2 linked regions of the Lepisosteus oculatus genome follow. The protein of the gene in region 1 interacts with the protein of each later gene in a pairwise test. Links are inferred from orthologs where the notes say so. Each region holds a gene or a part of one and is shown on either strand. Other genes may lie near its edges.

Region 1 (9,985 bases):
GCTGTGTGGCTCGGGACTACGAGGCCGAGCTGAACGGAGCGAGGAGGGCCGCCGGCGTGGACATGTCGTACACACTGCCCGACGGGCGGGTCATCAGTTTAGGCACAGAGAGGTTCAGGTAAGTGTGCTCTCCGGTAACACGCTGGCTCTCTCCTGAGCCCTTTATAATAGGCTTGTCTTCAGACCCTTGGCACTGTGGCACGGTTTCCTGCTCGTAGGCTGTGGGAGGGGGAAAGCACAGCTTAAATGGCTGGTGGCTGGGTACATCTCAAGTCAGTTTCAACTTGGAGGGATGAAATTCTGCAGTTTTGAGCCTGTGTACAGTAAAGATTCCATAGTCAGGACATGGGATGTTAGTGTGCATTCGGAGCAAGCCGCAGCTTTAGATAATGAATCATTTCATGTGAAAGGTCCTAAAAATGACACCACCTTGGTTGAAAACTGGTGTTGTCATCCGAATGACAAAGTCCAAGTGTCTGTGTAGTAGGAGTACTGTATCTCTTTTTATATGCATATGGAAGAAGGGCTTGGAGCCACTGAACTAAAAAATAAGTAGCTAAAGATGGTCTTTTATACCGCAAAAACAAACAAGTTACTACAACATTCTGAACGAATGATCAGACAACACATGCCAATCTTGTTATTAATCATATCTAAGTTGCAGACTAGACAAAAGTTAGTTCCTTTCATATGTTCTGGGCACACAGCCAGCTTACAGTACCTCATAGATGCCCTTTAATCCTACTGACCAAGGACGGGCAGCATCTTTGTATATTTGGGTGCAAAGCCAACTACAAGCCACTAGACTGCATAGTTTGCAAAAATACAAAAATGATATTCTCACCTCCCAGATGTCTCCCTTATCTCTTCTGGCTACACATTGGATATACATTCATACAGTATATCCAAAAACCAGCAGCTTGCAACCACTTCAAGATCAAACTGAACCAGTCTTATGGAGCTGCAGGTCAAAGCTTTGTAGGGTTTAAGTTTTATTATTATTGAATGAGTATAAGCAGAAGTGTTATATGACTTATAAGCAATTTTCAAGGAAAAAAGGCTATCCAGACAAGTTTATCTGCTTGTAATTCAGGTGTTGATTAACACTGGTGGAATGAGGACCTCGTGGAATTTCTTTAGAAAAGTGCAGCTGTATTCTGACTACAGTCCTCTGACAACATGATGCAAGCCTCAAACCACAAAGCCTGGACTGGTTCCCAGCCTGGAGCTGCCACCTGTTTGAAAGATCAGGCTGAAACATTGCTGCTTATGTGGCTGCAGGTCAGAACTTTGTCGGGTCTAATAGTTTTTTTTTCTTTTAACAGAGCCCCTGAAATTCTTTTCAGACCAGGACTGATTGGAAGAGACCACTATGGAATGCACGAGGCCATCTTCCGTTCCATTCTGCGCTGCGACATCGACCTCCGGAAAAGCTTTGTGGGAAATATTATTCTGTCAGGTAATTCGCTTTCTTTGTTGCAACGGGCTCCGGCCTTTCATCAGGCATGTGCAACATTAGATGGCTGAGCGACATAGCTTAGCCCGCCTGAACGCTACGCAGGCTGGCATGTTAAAAGCGGGTCTTATAAGGGTATATGAGATTCCAGCAGCAGCCTTAGTTTTTCCAGGAGGTCTCCCGTCCGGGGTACTGGCCAGGCTCACACCTGCTGAGCTTCAGTGGGCTGGCAGTTGGGAGTTGCAGGGTGCTACAGCTTTTGTGTGAAAAGTAAGGTAGATGCAGTAAAGAAATTGTGCACCTACAAGAGGTGCTTTTAGTCATTAAATGAACCCAAATTCCTTATGGAGCCAGAGTCATGGATGCTTATATATTATATAGCCGGGTACCTGCTGGCGCAGAAGGCTGATGCATGTGACCCAGGTGAGAGCTGTGCTTCAGTGGTATGTCATTCAAAAGTGCAGAGTGGCTCACTGGCACTTGCAGCGTGTTTGGGGATCATTTGCAATAAAAATAAAATAAAATAGTGGGTTAACTTGTAAAAATAGTTTCATTTTTTCCATCTCACTTTCTCATAAAACAGATTTTTTTAAAATAAACACTTTTTTAAAAGGCCAGAAACAGCTAAATGAGTTGAATGTGTTTTCCAGTAGGGTCCAGTAATGACTGGTGCTTTCCGCTGAGTTTTTTTTATTTTCCCCTCGCTCGTGCGCGGTGCCTCGAGGTGACTAACAGCCGTGCGCGTGTGTGTGTGTGTGCTCTGGTTGAAGGCGGGAACACGCTCCTGGCCGGCCTGGCACCGCGGCTGCGGGAGGAGATTGGCGCCATGGCGCCCGCGGAGCTGTGGGACAGCGTGCGGGTGGTGAGCCCCGAGGACAGGGACTGCGCGGTGTGGCGCGGGGGCGCCGCCCTGGCCAGCCTCCCCTCCTTCTCCACGGCGTGGATCACCCAGGCCGAGTACGAGGAGTTCGGCCCCCAGGTCGTCTTCAGGAAGTGTTTCTGAGCCTCACCCAAGTGGGCCTCTCATCTTCTTCAAGTGCAATTTTGTATTATACAGAGATTTTAATAGTGCCATATTTTTCTTATTTTAAATGTCCTACCGAAAAGTGTTCAGGGATTTGCTTGTTCTGCTGGTAGAGCAGGTTTTGTCCTGTTTATCGGGTTTTAACTTTGCAAAAATGTTCCATGTGATTTTTTTGGTGAACAAGCTCAAAGTGGTGGAAGGTTCTTTGACAAGGGCTATAAACTAGAGGGGTTCAGCACCCGTTTAACAAGTTATTTAAACATGCTGCTAATTATTTTAAGAAGATTAATTGCAATAAAATGGAAGGTGCACTTGATACTGTGAAAAGGCTTGTTCATTGAAACTGTCTAGTTACTTGATAGATTCGTTGAGAGCTAATTTTGCCACCAGCATCACAGGCTAGTTTCTCTTGGACTAGACAGGACATAAGCAATGTTACTGTTATTTTGAAGAAGGCTGTTTTTAAGTCTTTGCAGTTAAACCAAGTACAAATAAAGCTTGAACTTGGCATGAAAAGCTGATCTCTGAAACTCCTGGTATGTCTGGTCATTGCCCCAGTAGTTTTAATTACAGTGGTTTAATCTTTAAACATAACCTTAGTCTGAACAGACTGGGCCCAAATGAATAAATGTAATGGGGGAATGGATCTGATGCCTTTATTAACGTCACTGTTTTTTTTCATTTCTATATGTTAAATATCTGTTGTCCACTTATGTGTTAAGGACGTAAGACTGTCTTTTAGTGCACCAAGCCATTTGGAAATGTTATTTTTCTCTTAATTCATTTTTAAATGTTTTTTTGTGTTGTCTTCTCAATGTTTACTTGCTGCTTGAAAGACAGATGGGTCCTTAGCTAATTCTGGGCAAGTGATCCGACACACAGGACAGGAATGTACATTTTCCTTTAATGCTAACAACTTTATCATTTGTATTGCAGGAAATGGCATTTATTAAATTGCCTTATGGTAAGGTATTTCCTATTGAAAAAGGATCTGCCTAGGCATCGTTAGTAATTGAATCTAAACATCTTCCCTAAACGGCTTAAGTAGTGCTTTATGGTCATTCTCCACGGAATTAAGATTTTTGTATGCAATTTGGACAAGTAGATTTCGGTCTTTGACATTTTCTGGTTTTTAAAGCACTTTGAGTTTATACTTTCTTCAGCCTAAATGCACCATTTTCTTATTGAGGTACAGTTGACCACCGATGTTCAGATTGAGGATGTTTTACTACCTGAATCTTTGAATGTTGACCAAATGGTTGTGAAAGGTGACCAGACATTAGCACTGTTCAGACCTGTCCTTAGAATCTGAGGTCTATGCTGTTGAGGTTTTAAACCAGGCACAAAAGGAAAAATGTTACATAAATGCTTTAATTTAGAATGGCTATCATGACTTCTTAATATTATATTGTTTCCCATAATTTAGAAAAAGTAAAGTAACACTTAAGGGCATCTATAGCTAAAGTGTATCCGTAAGCTTTTCCAAAAATATATTTCCTTGGCAATGGGTAAACGTCTGTGGTAGCCTTAAATTGATTCATCCAGGAGTCCAGATTTTTAAAATATCAATGCATTTCCTCAGGTTACCAGACCTCCACTATCGTTTGTACAAAACAAATATACTGTGCGAATGTATAATATCTGTATTTTTATAATAAATATTTATTTTCTTCAGAATTTTCTTCAGAAGGATCTATCATTACCCAGTAGAGTATAGCAATCTTTAAGCACTGATTGGTGCACATAAATGTATCCTATTTTATATAATACTATTGCACTCATGGTGCTTTTCTGGACACTCCACTCAAATAACTTTACAGATAATGGGGCCTCCCCTCCATCACCACCAATGTGCAGGCCCACCTGGATGGTGCGACAGCAGGCAGTGCTCCAGTGCACTCCCCACACACCAGCTCTCAGTGGGGAGGAGAACCGTGATGAAGCCAATTCACAGATGGGGATTATTAGGAGGCCATTATCAGTAAAGGCAAATGGGAAATTTGGCTGGGACAGCAGGGTATCACCCTACTCTTTTTTTTGAGAAAAACTGGGATTTTTAATGAGTCAAGACCTCAGTTTTATGTCTCGTCTGAAGGATAATGCTTTTATTTTTTACACTGGAGTGTCCCCATCTCTGCTGGGGCATTAGGACCTACACAGACTGCTGGGTGAGCACCCCCTACTGGTCCCACTAACACCTCTTCCAGAGGCAAACTTAGCTTTCCCAGGAGATCTCCCATCCAGGTACTGACCAGGCTCACACAAGCTGCGCTTCAGTGGGGTGCCAGTTGTGTTCAGGGTGCTACAGCTTTTGTGTGAAAGTATGGTAGATGTAGTAAAGAAATTGTGCACCTACAAGAGGTGTTTTTAGTCATTAAAATGAACCCAGATTCCTTATGGAGCCCGAGTCATGGTTGCTTATATATTATATAGCCGGGTACCTGCTGGTGCAGAAGACTGATGCATGTGACCCAGGTGAGAGCTGTGCTTCAGTGGTATGTCATTCAAAAGTGCAAAGTGGCTCACATGGCACTTGAAGAGTGGGGATCATTTGGAATAAAAGAAATCTGCAAATAGTGAATTAAATTCTGTAAATAGTTCTATTTTTTCACTTTCTCATAAAATTGATTTAAAAAAAAACACTTAGCAAGAATAACGGGAACAAAGGCAGAGACAGCTAAATGCGTTTAATGTATTTTCCAGTAGGGTAAAGTAATGATTGGCACATTACGCTTGTTTTTTTTTTTTTTATTGCAATTTAAAACGTAGTACAAAAATAGTACATCTCTGTAATCTTGGTACTCGAAGACATTCTGGAAAAAGACGGGTAGAGTTTCTGTTATGTTTTTAAATAGTTATATACAGTAGATTTTGTTGACTAATTCCTCCGTTTAATTTGCCATGAATAAGTTTTGAAAGATATCCGTCGTGTAGAAACAGGCGGTACCCTTCTTTTATATCTACTGTACATATTTGCGTGTATACCAGTTTGTTTTACTAGGGGGTCTTTCACTTCTCCGAGAATGATAGCATCTTACTACGGACTCGGGAAGTGGATAATTTGGGGTGGGGGGAGGTTTATAACTTCCGATAGTCCGACTAAATACGCTAAATTTGTATAGTCTCTTCGCAGATATTGAAGTAGCGTGCAGTTGAATAGTACAAACATGCTGCTGCTACAGGTATATGTCGCTTCACGGTAAGGTTCAACGTTTACAAGCGGAATATACGCTTTTACGTAGGGTTTCATTCATTCAGTTCCCAGATTTTCTAATGGTTTTCAACTCGCAACGCAGTACAAATCTGTAATGAGTATTTTATTGCTATAATCGTTGTAAAGCTCTACATTAAAGGATGAGAACGGAGTCGACAAAAAAAAACTTCTTGCTAGGTAGCCATAGCAACCGTCCAGTAAACAGGGGACCTGCTGCAGAGACCAGGTAGGGCGAACCGGCGTTAAAGTTTGTTTTCCGCTTTAGAAATGTTCGTCTGCAGTTTTTTTTCCATATCATACATGTTTCACATTGCTATACCGACCCATGGGGCTGTTATAATGTTATTTTGCTTTAGTTTTAACGAGGGATTTTCAAGTGACTGTAACCTTTTTTGTAAAGTGTGGGATAAATCGTGGCGGCCGGGAGGTTACAGTCATTTGGTCTGTTTCCAGTTTTTCTATTGCAATCAAACAATGCACACCAAATACTCAAAAGTGCTGATCTCTTGCATGCCAGGACACTTGGCACTTTGGACTCGATGAGTCGTGTCGAAATGTAGGCTTTATTTTTTTAACTTAAAAACATAAATTAATGTCATCAATAAAAAGAAACGTCGTAGCTCTGTTTATATTGGCGATATGTAACATATGGTTTGTGTTTCTTTACGCGCTTTAGAGACAAACACTCGACCTTATTCTCGAACATGTACGTTAATCACAAGAGCCGGCTTGGCCACCTGCTCATGGTTCCCGATTGCGTTTAACAGGAGACTCCCAATATATATGTGCTAAACAGGTGATGTTTGATGCATTAAACACAAATACAGTTTATGACATCTATGAATATAAATGTTCATTTCCGTGAAGAAGGAATAAGATGTCCAGACCGGTACCTAAAACTAGTTTTTTTATCCTCACTAGGTGATGAGTCGCGCACAACCTTGAATTGGCTTCAAAACACATCAAACGAACCTCGTCTCGAGTCGAGAAGCCACATTTAGCAGAAGAATCAGCCTAAGTGGGGAAATGTAGAGTTTTATTCAGCACTAATGAAAAAAATTGCTTAATGTCTGTAGCTGTTTCCTGGTCCTGACGTATTATTGTATATTGTTGTGGGAATACGGCCATAATGTTCACAAAGATGGTCATTCCCATGTTATATTCTTCGCAGATGCCTTTACCCAGTGCAATTAACCAAGTATTCATGGATAAATACTGTATAAATGCATAAATTCCGAAAATACATCATTCAGATATACAGTAGTACGGGAAAAAGAGTAAAAATAATTATTGCAATAATACCAAAGCCGCAAGGCGAATCTGTTCAAATGCAATGGAACTTGTTTTGTTGAATCAAAGCGAAAATAGTTGTAAACTTTTTTTTTTTCCTTGCGGTAGCTCTTGAAGATGTCACGCGCACAGGCTGAGAGTGTCATCAAAAACATTATTCGTGAAATTGCTCAAGAATGTGCTGGCAAAGGACAGGCCGTGTCCGAAACACTGGTGGCTTTTATGGTAAGAATTGTGCATGGACAAATCTGGCGGAACTGGAAATCAATAGGAGCAGTACAGGGTAAAAAGCCATTTATTCTCTTTCATAAACATGAGCAGGGCTCTGGAAAAAGTCCAGGATGCTCAACCTTTAACAACTAAAATTGATTTTATTTATACGGGAATTATACTGGTATGCGTTTTTTGGTATTAAAAACAAAAACGAACATGTGTAACAGTATATCAAGTTATGACACCCGAAAAAGGCTCCACGGCCGAAACATTGTGTTTTTTCTTCTCTTATCAGCACGGAATAAACCTTTACTTGTTCCTTTGCAGCCTACGCGTGCTGACGCAGCTTCTCAGCTTAACTAGTCAAGCATGTCCTGTCTGCTACCTCTCAGAAACACTTCCTTGTTTTTCCTTTCCTTGTGCTCCCTGTTAGTGTATTTTTCTCGTGCTTGTTAGTGTGCTAGTGTTCCGCGAGTTCATGGTTAGGTGTTTGGCCTGGACTGCTCAAACCTTTCAGTATACATCATGTTTGATCACAAATTCTGAATTAGAATGTGATATAATTGTGAAAAGTGGTACTAGATGCATCAGTAGCAACACTGGAAAGATAATAACACTTCTAAATGCACAATATCCAAATTTATTTATACCCCATAAAGGTATACAAAATAATTGCTGCATATTCAGTTCTCTCTTGTTTTCAGTCATCTGGTATTCTCACAAAGCTCAAATGTTTCTAGACACTTCTTGAAACGTCTTGACGTCAGTCTGTTTGCCCCTGCGTATTAAAAGTGTGGAGGACACAGATGTAAAAGACTGATTATCAGATTGCCATTAGCAAAGCCAGAATATTGTCAAAAGAGCAAAGGTAAAAGATTTGCATCAACAGGTCTAAAAATAACATGATATTTGTGGCTTATGTGATGGTTGCTGCCCTACCAGGAAGAGAACAAAGCTTCTGCCTATGTCTGTGGTCAGAAAAGTGTTTTGGGAGAATAACTTACATTCAGACACAACAACTGGGAATCATCAAAACGCCCAGGCGTCATCAAGACAATATTTTGAAGTCTGCCATTTAAGGGTCTGCTCATGAATCTGTGGTACAGTATGTGGCAGAGCTCCAGGACAACATAGAAAGACTCAAAATGGCCAAACAGAAACTAGGTAACTCCCAAGTGAAATGGGACCACATGATGTGGTTGGATAAAGTACAAATACAGTTTTTGTCTCACCAGAACTGCAATTAGCACAGAAAGGTGAAGCTCACGATGACATAAAGGAAAAAAATGGAACTGTTCAGCTTTTAGGCTGGGTTGCGTATCCTAGTTAGAACTGAGAAACATAGGGATTGCCACATTATTATTACTAATAGGCAGTTACAAGTTAAAAGTGCAAAATAGAGGGGGGTAAACAATAATTAAAATAAATAATTATGAACCCCAAATTATAAAGATGTTAGAACTTACCCAAGTGGTTGGTATAGTTAGATGTACTTGAGTTCTTTGTTCTTGGGTTCAGCTCTGATGAAAGAGTGATGAAAGAGTAATTCATCAGAGGCAATCTGGGATTAACAAATATTTATTAACAATGAAAATAACACAAACTAAACAACACACAGCACAACGTACAACTTATTCTGTTTACAAACAAGGTGTCTACATCCTGATCACCCAGAATGCTAATCAAGTACTCAGAAGTCCTATAATGGGTTACAGGCCAAAAAGAAAGTTAAACCTAAATAAAACAGAATACAAAATGGAGCCCTCCTATAAATCTGGATGATCCAAAGTGAATGGTAACCTACCTATTCTATAAGTCCATATAACTCCCTATTCCATCTCTATCAATAAGAGTTCCCTTAAGAATGGAATTGCAAGCTCTCTTTAACAAGGTTCAGATATTTAGCTAGAATCTGGTCTTTAGGGTTGATTCAAACAAAGTCCTTTCAAACACTTCTCCTCTTTCCAGCTATTTCTTTTCAGTCTGTTCCTCTCTCCCTGTCTGCCTATTTGTGTTTTTATCCTGTGCTCTGGTTTCCTCCCAAAGTCAGAAGACATACTGTACTGGCAGGTTCAGTGGCTTCTGTAAATTGCTCCTGGTGTGATTGTGTGTGTTTGTGTCTGTGTGTCTGCCCATCCAGGTGTATCCTGCTTTACTTCCACTGTTTGCTCGGATCGGCTCTGACTCGCCTTCTGTACTGTATAAAGCAGTTTAGAAAATAGATGGATATATTAAGAGTTAGGCAAATTTGTGTTTATTTATTTATTGACATTGTTGCTACATCTCCTGAAGTGTTTATTATTCTTTTAAAGTTTGCATTCTATTGCACAGGTAAAAGCGGTTGTTTTGGATCCAAGGAATGAATTTAACGTTGATCGAACTCTTACAAAACAAGATGTACAGAAATTAATCAAGGTAATTTTAACATTTTTGCAACTCAGCTTTTCTTAGTAAAGGAGGATTCTATCTTCAAATCATCTCGATAAAATATACTTAATCAACCGTATTCAAAACTGCTTTGATCAGGGTTATGATGAAATAGCTGGCAACTCATCTATGTCAGTTGAAAGATGAGTTACAGCATAGTAAACACACAGATGTGTTTTATGATTCTGCAGCTCCATCTAAAGGCCAGTCAAAAAATAGTTTTGAAGATTCATTCCTACATTATTGCACTATTGTTGTTCTTGAAAAAAATCTGATATAAACTATACATTTAATATTGCCTGTTTTTACTTTGTTGTTTTTTACAAACCTTTACAGCTTTGCGTGGATAGACTTTTGGATC
Region 2 (10,068 bases), on another chromosome or scaffold:
GGTCAAGGGAGTCTGGGATAGTGCAGTTTATATCACCTCGCAACTCACAACTGGCAGCCCGCTGAAGCTCAGCAGGTGTGAGCTTTCCCAGGAGGTCAGTACCTGGATGGGTGACCTCCTGGGAAAAACTAAGGTTGCTGTTGGAAGAGGTGTTAGTGGGGCCAGCAGGGGGCGCTCACCCTGCGGTCTGTGTGGGTCCTAATGCCCCAGTATAGTGACGGGGACATTATACTGTAAACAGATGCCATCCTTCGGATGAGATGTAAAACCGAGATCCTGACTCTCTGTGGTCATTAAAAATCCCAGGGCGTTTCTCGATAAGAGTAGGGGTGTAATCCTGAGTCCTGGGCAAATTTCCCATTGGCCTTTACCAATCATGGCCCTTACCAATCATGGCTTTCCAGTCACTTCATATCACTGAAGTGAGTGCCACTGGGCCGTAATCATTCAAACAAGTTATCTCGGTCTGCTTGGGCAGTGGCACGGTTGTTGTTCTCTTGACGCACTCTGGCACAACTGACAGGGACAGAGAGAGGTTAAAAAGGTCTGTATATACGGGAGAGACCTGACCTGCAAAGGTTTTAAGGACACGAGAGAAGACACCCTCTTAAAGGCTCTACACACCTCCGGAGACCTCTGACCCACTGCAGTGGAAAGAATCTAAAATTACGTTGTGGCAGCCTGCATCCTGTCTCACTAAAACCCACACAGCTATGACCAAGATAGCCTCACTTGTCACCGTTGACTGCCCACAGCACAGGACAAATGTGAAGCCCAGTGCGTCTGTGAGCTTGCCTCTTCTTGCCAAACACACTGTGAATAGCTGTATTTTACATTTTGGTGGGTAACAGAGACCACAAGCGTGCCCATCTTATCTTCTCTTGCCTCTACAGCAAGCTGATGACTCATGTGGCATCGCAGTTCTCCTCTAGCTACGTCTTCTACTGGAAGGACTATTTTGGGGACCAGGAGCTGAAGTATCCCCCTGGCTTTGATGGCAGGGTGGTGCTGTATCCTAGCAACCAGAACCTCAGAGACTACCTCAGCTGGAGACAGGCCGACTGTGAGTGCTCCCAGCGCTTCATTCTCCACCACCAGAGACTCTTTCGACTAAATAAAACATGTGAATGTTTTGTTTTCCATTTGAAAATTTTGCTCTGCAGATGGGTCGGCCCTGCTGTCTCACAGTGCTGGTGCCCTAGGTTCAATCCCTGGGATTGCTGTCTGTGTAGCGTTTGTATGTTCTCCCCAAGTTTGTGTGGGTTTCCTCCCACAGTCAGTAGATAGGCTGGTTCTGGGAAAACTGGCTCTGGTTTGAGTGTGAGTGTGTCCGTGTCCTGTGATGGACTGGTGTCCCATCCAGAGTGTTCCCTTCCCTTGTGCCTGTTGCTCCAGTTCCTCCGCGACGCTGTACTGGGTAAAGTGGAAAGAAGACAGCTCTACAAATGTTCAGCGACTGGAATCTCTTTGCTCTCTTGCTGGATTGTTTCTGTTTCTCACATCCTGAATCTCCGACCACTGTTTTGACTCGCGTGGTGCTCCTGTTTTCCAGGTCATATTAATAACTTGTACAACACGGTGTTTTGGACTTTGGTGCAGAAGGGTGGGCTGACCACATCCCAAGCAGAGGAGAGACTGAGGGTGAGAAGGTTTTTTGGGGTGTGTGTGTGTGGGCTAACTGGAGGATTGCTGTGCTTTCAAAGAGAGGGCTAGATTTCTGAAACAGCTGGTGTGACCAATAAAATAAAATAAAAAAATGTAATTCACTTCTAATTTAAATGTAAATTTAAATTAAAAATGTATTTTTTTTTCTAGCTTTAGAAAGCCACTTTTAGTGATTAATCATCTGAGACAAATTTATGACTGCAGTCACCTAACAAGCAGTACTTTATAATCCATGGTAAAGAATTAGCAGAATTTGAATTTTTATTCTAATTCTTACATGTTTATCTAAAGATGCTTATGGCGGTCCTTCTTGAGTTAAAACAGGACACCTCTCTAATTATTTTAGGAGTCATCAAAGCTTTTAATAAAATATAAAAATCACAAAGAAAACACAGAAGCTGTTTTAAGGTCTTCATACCACGTCAAAGGTAAATTCTTTAGAAGCAGGTTTCTGATTGGACACATCCTGTGTGTAATTGAATCCTTAGCTTTATTACGGGGCTTTATCACTCAGCTTCGCTTGTGGGACTTAATTACAACTCAGATACTGGAAAATAACAGGCCTGAACCGTAAACATCAGGTGATGACTCTCCACTGCGGTAAATACGCTCTGATCAGCACTTTCATCTTCTGGGCCTGAGTCGATATCTAGGACATTCATGCAGAATGCAGTTCAGCTTTTGTATAAAATTCTTCATAAAACCCAGAGCTGATAAGGGCCCTTATAGCACAGGAATACCCATGAAGAGGGATTGGCCTCCTTGTACAATTTTAGTGACATATGGTATCGTGCTAATTTATGTGTGTGTCTTTTGAAAAACAGAAAAGGCCTGGGAAATGCTTAGGACTTAAAACTGAAATCATGTGAAACAACGTCACAGTATTTTAACTTCCCTGCATGTTTTTACTTCTGTAACACAAAGGCTCGATGCTGTTCATCAGGTTTAAAAAACAGGATTCTAGTGTCTGGCGTTCAGTTTGCCGGCCATTGAAAAAAACCTGTAACGTGATCATTCAGCTGGGATGGGACTTTTTTGGGGTGGTCCATGATATTTTCAGATTTGATTTTTCTGGGCTGGGCTGGGCCATTTGAGTTGGCTTGTTGAGTTTTAAGATGTTCCAATTCTGGTAGTGCAGTGGTTTATTTATGTTTGTGTGTGGGGTGTACGATACCGCACTGGTTAGCATTGCTGCTTTGCAGTGCCGGGGCCTCTGGGTTCAGTTCCTGGGCTCTGTCTGTGTGGAGTTTGCATGTTCTCCCCATGTTAACATGGGTGTCCTCCGGATGCTCTGCTGTCCTCCCACAGTCTAAAGTCATGCTGGGAGCTTAATTGGCTTCTGGGAAAATTGTGTGTCTGTGTGTGTGTGCACTGTGATGGACTGGCATCCTGTCCAGGGTGTATCCCACCTTGTGCCCGTTGCTTGCTGGGATAGGCTCTGGCTCCCCCAATATATCTGTACTGGATAAAGCAGTTTAGAAGGTGGATGGATTCTTTTATCACACCACCTGGTGCCTGATGGTCTTGGCTACAGCAGCCAGTGCAAGATGGCGTTTGCTGGAGAGGTGCTGATGCTTTCCATTCATGTTTTTTAGGGCACTCTAGCAGCCGATAAGAACGAGATCTTGTTTGCAGAGTTCAACATTAACTACAACAACGAGCCTCTACTCCACAGGAAAGGCACAGCTCTGGTCTGGAAAAAGGTGAAATGCAAAGACAGCAAAGTCTTTCATGAAAACATGCCGTTTACATAATTCCTGTTTCTCCAAGATGATCCTTCATCTTTTGTCTTATCCAGTATTTGTGTCTGTTAGTCAGGAATGCATCTTGTGTGATACTGTGTGATACCGTTTTCATTCCTGTACACCAGAATAGCTGACCTGCATCGGGATATAGCAGTGTCTGCATGCGTGTAGTTAGATTTTAGGCTGCTTGGCTTTTCTGCATTTTGAACCCCCCCAAAAAGCGTAACTTTTTAACCCCATTTTTAAATGCATTCGAAGTTCAACGAAACCGTGACGAAACCAGTGAAACGTGCGAGCGAAGAGCAGGAGAAGGAGGTGGTGGTGACGCGCAGCCGGAGCAGAGTCGTCGCCCTGCATTGTGACATCATCGGGGACCAGTTCTGGCAGGAGCACCCCGAGATTCTGGAGGGGGAGAGCTAGCCAAGCACACACCTGACGGCGCACATTCCCCACGGGCTAAACACCAGCTCTGGCTGTATAATGGAAGGCCTGAGCAGAGGAGGGGTCACAAACAGGTGGAGCTGTTTATCTCTGGTGCCAGAAGGAAAGGAGGAGACGAGTGGTTTACCTAATACTCTGGCCTGGCTTTCCTTCAGCCCTGCTGTGTCAGCTGTGAAGTGCTTATCTACCCTGTTTTCTGCCCAGAGGTAGTTGTAACTGAAATTGGTGGGTTTTATAACCACAGGTGAAAAGATGGGTGTGATTTTTTCCATTTCACATGGAAAGAAATGGTGAACAAGTAAGCGCTTTAACTCCGCAGCAATTATATTACGTGGAAAAACAGTAGTAGTGATGGGCAGACCTAAATCTCAAGAAGGCATTCCATGATGAACATGAGCGCTGATCCAAAGCTGGGTCACTCTGTAGTCGCATCTCTGCTGTCTGTAATGTTGAATTAAGCTACACCTATGTCTGTACTTCATGCAGTTTTTAATAAAGCAGTGACTGGATTTGTATAGGGCTCTTGCATGGTTTTTTATATTGGTTTTATGTAGAATTTCTTCCTTTCAACTTCTCATTATAAGATCTTTTAAATGAGGTTGTGAGATATGTAAGCTACTAAAACAGCCATGTTTAGCTTTAGAAACCACCAGCTTCTTTTTTTCCTACATCCTGTATGTTTTGCCAGTGGTTTAGTTATATGGGGCGGCGTGGTGACGCAATGGTTAGCATTGCTGTCTCGCAGCGCTGGGTACAATTCTGGACCGGGGGACACTATCTTTGTCGCTGCGTGGAGTTTATGTGGTCTCCCTGTGTATGGGTTTCCTCCCACAGTCCAGACACATACAGGTAGCTTAACTGGTTTCTGGGAATAAGGGCCCTGGTGTGAGTGTTTGTGTGTATGTTTGTGTCTGTGTCTGCATCCCACCCAGTGTGCACCCCACCTTGCACCCATTGCTTGCCAGGGTAGGCTCCAGCTCCCCCACCACTCTGAATTAGAGCACAGAGCAAATGGATGCATGGTTTATCATGCATCTGTTATTGGAAACGCCTCCCACGTCAACAGCCAGTATTGGTGCTCGACGACCCTGGTGTCCCGGGTTCGAGCCCGAGTCCTGTCAGCAGCTGACCGAACACTGGCGAGGGTACGGTGGGGTAGGGCTCTCTCAGCTTCCTGCAAACGCAGCGCCGGTATGGGGGCAGATTGAAGGGGGCTGCCTGCGCTCCGTCGTCCCCTATGTGCACCCTCGGTGTCCACCCCTGCGTCTCGAGCTGTGAAAATCGCACAACTGGAGACTGGGGAATGCAGTGGGTGTAATTAAAAGCAACTGGTAGATGTTTTTAAAAACTAAACAGCTCAATTAAAGAGTAGAAGGAGGGTTGCAAATGACAGAAGGCCATTTGGTCCATCAAGTCTGGTGGTTAGGAGCTAATCAATCCAAGATTCCCCTCCAACTGGTTCTTAGAAGAAACCAGGTTTTCAACTTCAACAACATGGCTGGGCAGCATGTTCCACACTCCCACCACCCTCTGTGGAAAGAGGTGCCTCCTGTTCTCAGAGTTAAATGCTCTTCCTTGTGGTTTCCCCTGGTCCCTATTTTACTGGTGATTCTGAAGATGTCCTCTGGGTTGACTGTCAGTGTGTCTGAGGACTGTGGATTCTCCACGTACTCTTCTCGGTTCAAGAAAAAAAAAAACAAAGGAAAACCACTTATTGTTGGAGAGGCCTGTGGTCCAGAGGTGGGACTGCCTTCTGAATGGGACACCAGTCCATCAAGGTGGCAATTTAGAGACCCCCAGCTGACCCAAACACACGGCTGTGGAAGGTGGGATGACTTTCTAGCACCAGGGGGAACATGCAGGCTCCACACAGAAGGTACTCCAGTCTGGAATCAAACCCAGAACCCAGGAGGAGTGAGGCAACAACACTACCCACTCCACCACTGTGTTGCACGACAGTGGTTCACACATAATTATCAGTTAACCTAAAAAGTGCATTTCTAAAACACTCAAACAAAAACACTTTTTAACGTCTTCCTGCACAACTATGCGATTTTATTCACGGATCCTGTGAGCTGTCTCGAGTCCCAAACGATTCAGACCAGATAAAAAACGGAAAGTTATTAACTTTTATTTTCATTTAACTAAAAGACACTGATATCGTGTCTTAACTCTACCATCACTCAATACAATTTATTAGCTTCAAAAATCTCTTCAGGCACAGCAGTCATTAAAAAAAAAACATCCTCCTTGCGTATTCACACGTGTGCAAGATGCGTGGGGTATCTGAACGCATTTCAGCTCCCACGTGTTTCAAGGGCAAAGGGGTCGCTCTGAATCCCGGGAAAGAATCCGTCGCGGATGTGAAGTCCAGATGAATGACTGGTGTTCGTGTTAGGGTGTCATTTTGATTGTTCTGATTTCGAGCGGGGTGAGAGGGTGTGTGATAGTTAAAGGGGTTATAAGACTTCTGTCACATACGGTTCGTGAGAGAAACGCTGTTTTAGCGACGACGGATTCAGTTCGTGAAGGTGAACCATGGCAACCTTTTGACGTCTCGCGGGTCGCCGCGGTCCCTATTGTGACAGCCGCTGCGCGTCGCGCCTGCAAGCCAATAAAAGACCCCCCCCTCTCTCTCGCGCCGGCAAGGTGTCCGTTTTGAATTCCGGCCGTTCCAGCCGCTGTCTGTCAACGGAAAGGGACTAAGGAGCGACGTTGAGATCACAATTAAACCCAGCCGGAGGCCCGCAATGGACACACGCCCAGGACCCGGGGCAAAACCAGCAGCGTCACCCGCCACAAGGAGTGAAAATCGCTTCAGAAAGGAAAACAAAAGCCAGGCGCGCCAGAGCCGCTCCGGCTGCCCCGGAAAACCCCAAAGTGACGAGTCCGGCCGGAAAGAGGAGCAAGTTAAGACCGAGGCAGGCGGGCCCTGTGAATTACGTGTCCAAACGGTCCCCAGGCGGGAAGATATACCGGTCATTTTTAAAGCGGAGAGGTCCTCGAGTGGGAAAACCGTGGTGGGAGTGGCGGTGAAAGAGAAAAGGAGGAGAAGTGCAAACGGGGACGATGGAGGAGTGAAAACCGAGGAGGGCCGAGTGGCGGAAGGCGTGGGTCACCCCCGCGCTGGGCCGACTCCCAGCGGCCAGAAAGGAGAGAAGAGCGACGGGGCTTTCGCGACGCCTCGACCGCTCCCGCCCGAGGACACGGAACGGGTCCCGCCCAGCGGCGCGGCGGCGGCGGGGCGGGGAGGAGGCGCGGCCCCGGCGGTCCTGCACCACAGCTTCCCGACGGCCTTCCTGACCGCCGAGCCCATCCGGCTGAGCAGAGTGCCCTTCCCCGCTCTGCCCATCGCGCTGCAGCCGCTGGCGCACACCTCCGTGAAGGTGGAGACCAGAAACGTGCCGCTCACCCTCCCGCCGTCGGAGTCAGGTAACTCCGCGCCCGAGGTCACGCAGGGCTGCAGAGGGGACAGCTGGCTTTGACACTGTCTCCGCTAATGTAGGGATTTTTGAAATGCTCTGATTTTTTTTCTATACTTATGTGCAAAAGCATTAAACATAACATTCGCGATCAATAAGAGCCTACGATACAGAGAGAACGTTTTTTTTTTCAGATTCAGCGCAGTGTGTTTTTCAATTATTCAAACCCCCATTTCTTTTCTGTAGGTCAGTTCAGTTTATTCTACAATGTATTTTACTAGACGTCTACACAGAAGTAGATCATGTTTATGACTAGCTGGATAACGTTCCATGCTTTCACCCAGCAGAACATGCTCCTTATATTGTGCAGATAAAGTTGCAGATTGTGCAGATATAGTTTTAGTTACATATTTCTTGTATGCCAAGATTTCAGTAAGTTTCAAGGAAGCATCATAAAAAGTGTCTGTTGGAACATAAGGCTGCTGCTGGAAGAGGTCTTAGTGGGGGGCCAGTAGGGGCCACTCATCCTGTGGTCTGTGTGGGTCCTAATGCCCCAGTATAGTGATGGGGACACTATACTATAAAAGAAAAAAGACGTTTTCCTTTGGATAAGATATAAAACTGAGGTCCTGGTTCTCTGTGGTCCTTAAAAATTCCACATCGTATCTCAAAAAGAGTAAGGGTGTAACCCCAGTGTCCTGGCCAAATTTCCCCCTGGCCAGTCATGGCCTCCTAATAATCCCCATCAATGAACTGGCTTCATCAATCTGCTCTCCTCCCCACTGATAGCTGGTGTGTGGTGAGAGTACTGGTGCACTATAGCTGCCGTCGTATCATCCAGTTTGGGGCTTCACACTGGTGGTGGCGGAGGGGAGTCCCCATTACCTGTAAAGCGCTTTGAATGGAGCGTTCAGAAAAGTGCTGTATAACTGTAACGAGTTCCACCTTTCCTATGGAGAAAGTGACCTCCAGACTTTGAGCCTGCCCGTGATCGATTCTCTTAATAGGGGATTTTCAGATTCCTTGCTGTAAGGAGCGAAACGGACACATCAAGCGCCCCATGAATGCCTTCATGGTGTGGGCCAGGATTCACAGACCTGCTCTGGCCAAAGCCAACCCCACCGCTAACAACGCGGACATCAGCGTGCAGCTGGGAGTGGAGTGGAACCGGCTGTCCGAGGAGCAGAAGAAGCCTTACTACGATGCGGCGCAGAGGATCAAAGACAAGCACCGAGAGGAATTCCCTGGTGAGTGAGAGATGGAGCCAGCCGAAGCACAGCAGATTTGAAGCAATCAGCACAGCTATTTTTACAAGTCCAAGCGCTGCTAATTTATTGGGCGCACGTCGCTGCCAGTTTTCATGTGGTAGAAGTAAAAGAGTATTTTTGGCTCTTACTCTTGTTATCCTGACACTATCAGGGGAAGTGCTCGACTCCTTTCCCACATTCATGCACACATATCACTGCTAGTGATCACTGGTGTGATTAAAGCTTTTTTAGCCTTCCCTCAAATCATCTGCTTTCTATCTGCATGCAACGGTCAACTCAGACTTCATGAGTTCTTATTTGTTCTTCACAAATTCCAGATTTTAGATAAATGAATAACTGAAAAGCATTCAGTTCCTGTTGATGCAAAGGGAGATGTGCCAGTAAGCAACAAGAGGGTTGTACAGACTTCATGCTGAGCCAATCTGCTGTTTTTTCCTATCCATGCAGTGAGTTGGTGTTGAGATGGAAATAGTTTTAAATTATAAGAGGATTATGTCAAGGAGCATCAGGCACGCATACTGGAGAAAGTGACACTCTTTCAATTTCATACTTTATCACTGCAGTCATCTTAAATTGAAAATAGCTGTCCATGATACCTAGAAAGCTAGGTTTGTAACACTTGAACTTGAGTGTAGAAGATTGTTCTTCTATTCATTCTTTTATTCTTGATCCAAAATGTAATTACTTTTTTTTTTAAATGGAGTAATATAGTGAGTTCATTGTTTTTGGATAAACCCTAATCACAAACGAAGATTCTGTGTCTGTGTTGCCATCACGGCCATAGTGGAATAAGGCCATTCATGGTGACAATGTTCATACACACTAACCGAATCTTGGTGCAGTTGTTTAATCTCCAGAAAGAAAACATGGAACACAAGATGGTATTCTAACAAGGAGTTCAGTCCAGAAAGAAAAGATCTATAGCTGCCATCCGAACTGATTCGTGTCTCTGATATGTCATCTAATCTAATTGGTCTAATCTTTCAATGATGGTGCTCCTGTTTTATTAGGTTGGGTTTATCAGCCAAGACCAGGGAAGAAAAAGTGCTGCTACCCCCCTGGTATCATGCCGTCCTCAGTGCCTGCTTCCTCGCAGAGCTGTACACCCACAGCTGTGGCCGCTGGTCCGGCTGCCTGCTCCATGGCTGCCCCAGTGGTACACATAGGCTCCAGCTACCCCTCGCCTGCAGGTGAGTGCAGGGAAATGGAAAGACACGGGCTTGCTGTGACTCTGGACCTTCCCAATAAGCAACCCAACTGGCGTTTTAAAAGCACCTGGCTTTTGGCATTGTTTTGAAAACAAAGCGCAACATCTTCTGTAGAAATTCAATATTTTCTTGCGGCACTAGAAAAAGAAAAGATGCATTCCTAATGTTTTTTTTTTTAAATACGTTCTATGAAACAAAGCAATGTTTGTTCCACTTACAGTTCACTGTTAGATAGTGTGGTGATAAAAATACCCTTAAGAGTTCATGGTTGAACATAGATATATTTGACCATCCCCAAGTCCCCAACAAGTCCTAATAG

What was found.
Region 2: the proteins of cfap206 (region 1) and transcription factor SOX-30 interact in binary tests that used the Homo sapiens proteins (3 or more experiments, as listed by UniProt). The two-hybrid records come from large-scale screens. The link is inferred for Lepisosteus oculatus from reciprocal best matches to the Homo sapiens genes CFAP206 and SOX30.

What each region holds. Positions count from the first base shown.
Region 1 is NC_090697.1:8,348,018-8,358,002, reverse strand, and holds the start of cfap206 (cilia- and flagella-associated protein 206), read left to right. Parts: upstream 1-5,472; 5' UTR 5,473-5,920; intron 5,921-5,931; exon of another isoform or gene 5,932-5,963; intron 5,964-5,986; exon of another isoform or gene 5,987-6,135; intron 6,136-6,184; exon of another isoform or gene 6,185-6,490; intron 6,491-6,615; 5' UTR 6,616-6,712; intron 6,713-7,092; 5' UTR 7,093-7,101; coding exon 7,102-7,209; intron 7,210-7,819; exon of another isoform or gene 7,820-7,975; intron 7,976-8,663; exon of another isoform or gene 8,664-8,717; intron 8,718-9,001; exon of another isoform or gene 9,002-9,185; intron 9,186-9,528; coding exon 9,529-9,612; intron 9,613-9,960; coding exon 9,961-9,985. Other genes in the region: uncharacterized protein, read left to right, coding at 1-118, 1,326-1,459, 2,227-2,459. UniProt on the Homo sapiens protein: Essential for sperm motility and is involved in the regulation of the beating frequency of motile cilia on the epithelial cells of the respiratory tract. Required for the establishment of radial spokes in sperm flagella.
Region 2 is NC_090706.1:28,067,690-28,077,757, reverse strand, and holds the start of transcription factor SOX-30, read left to right. Parts: upstream 1-6,088; 5' UTR 6,089-6,601; coding exon 6,602-7,283; intron 7,284-8,280; coding exon 8,281-8,520; intron 8,521-9,551; coding exon 9,552-9,731; intron 9,732-10,068. UniProt on the Homo sapiens protein: Acts both as a transcriptional activator and a repressor. Binds to the DNA sequence 5'-ACAAT-3' and shows a preference for guanine residues surrounding this core motif. Binds to its own promoter and activates its own transcription.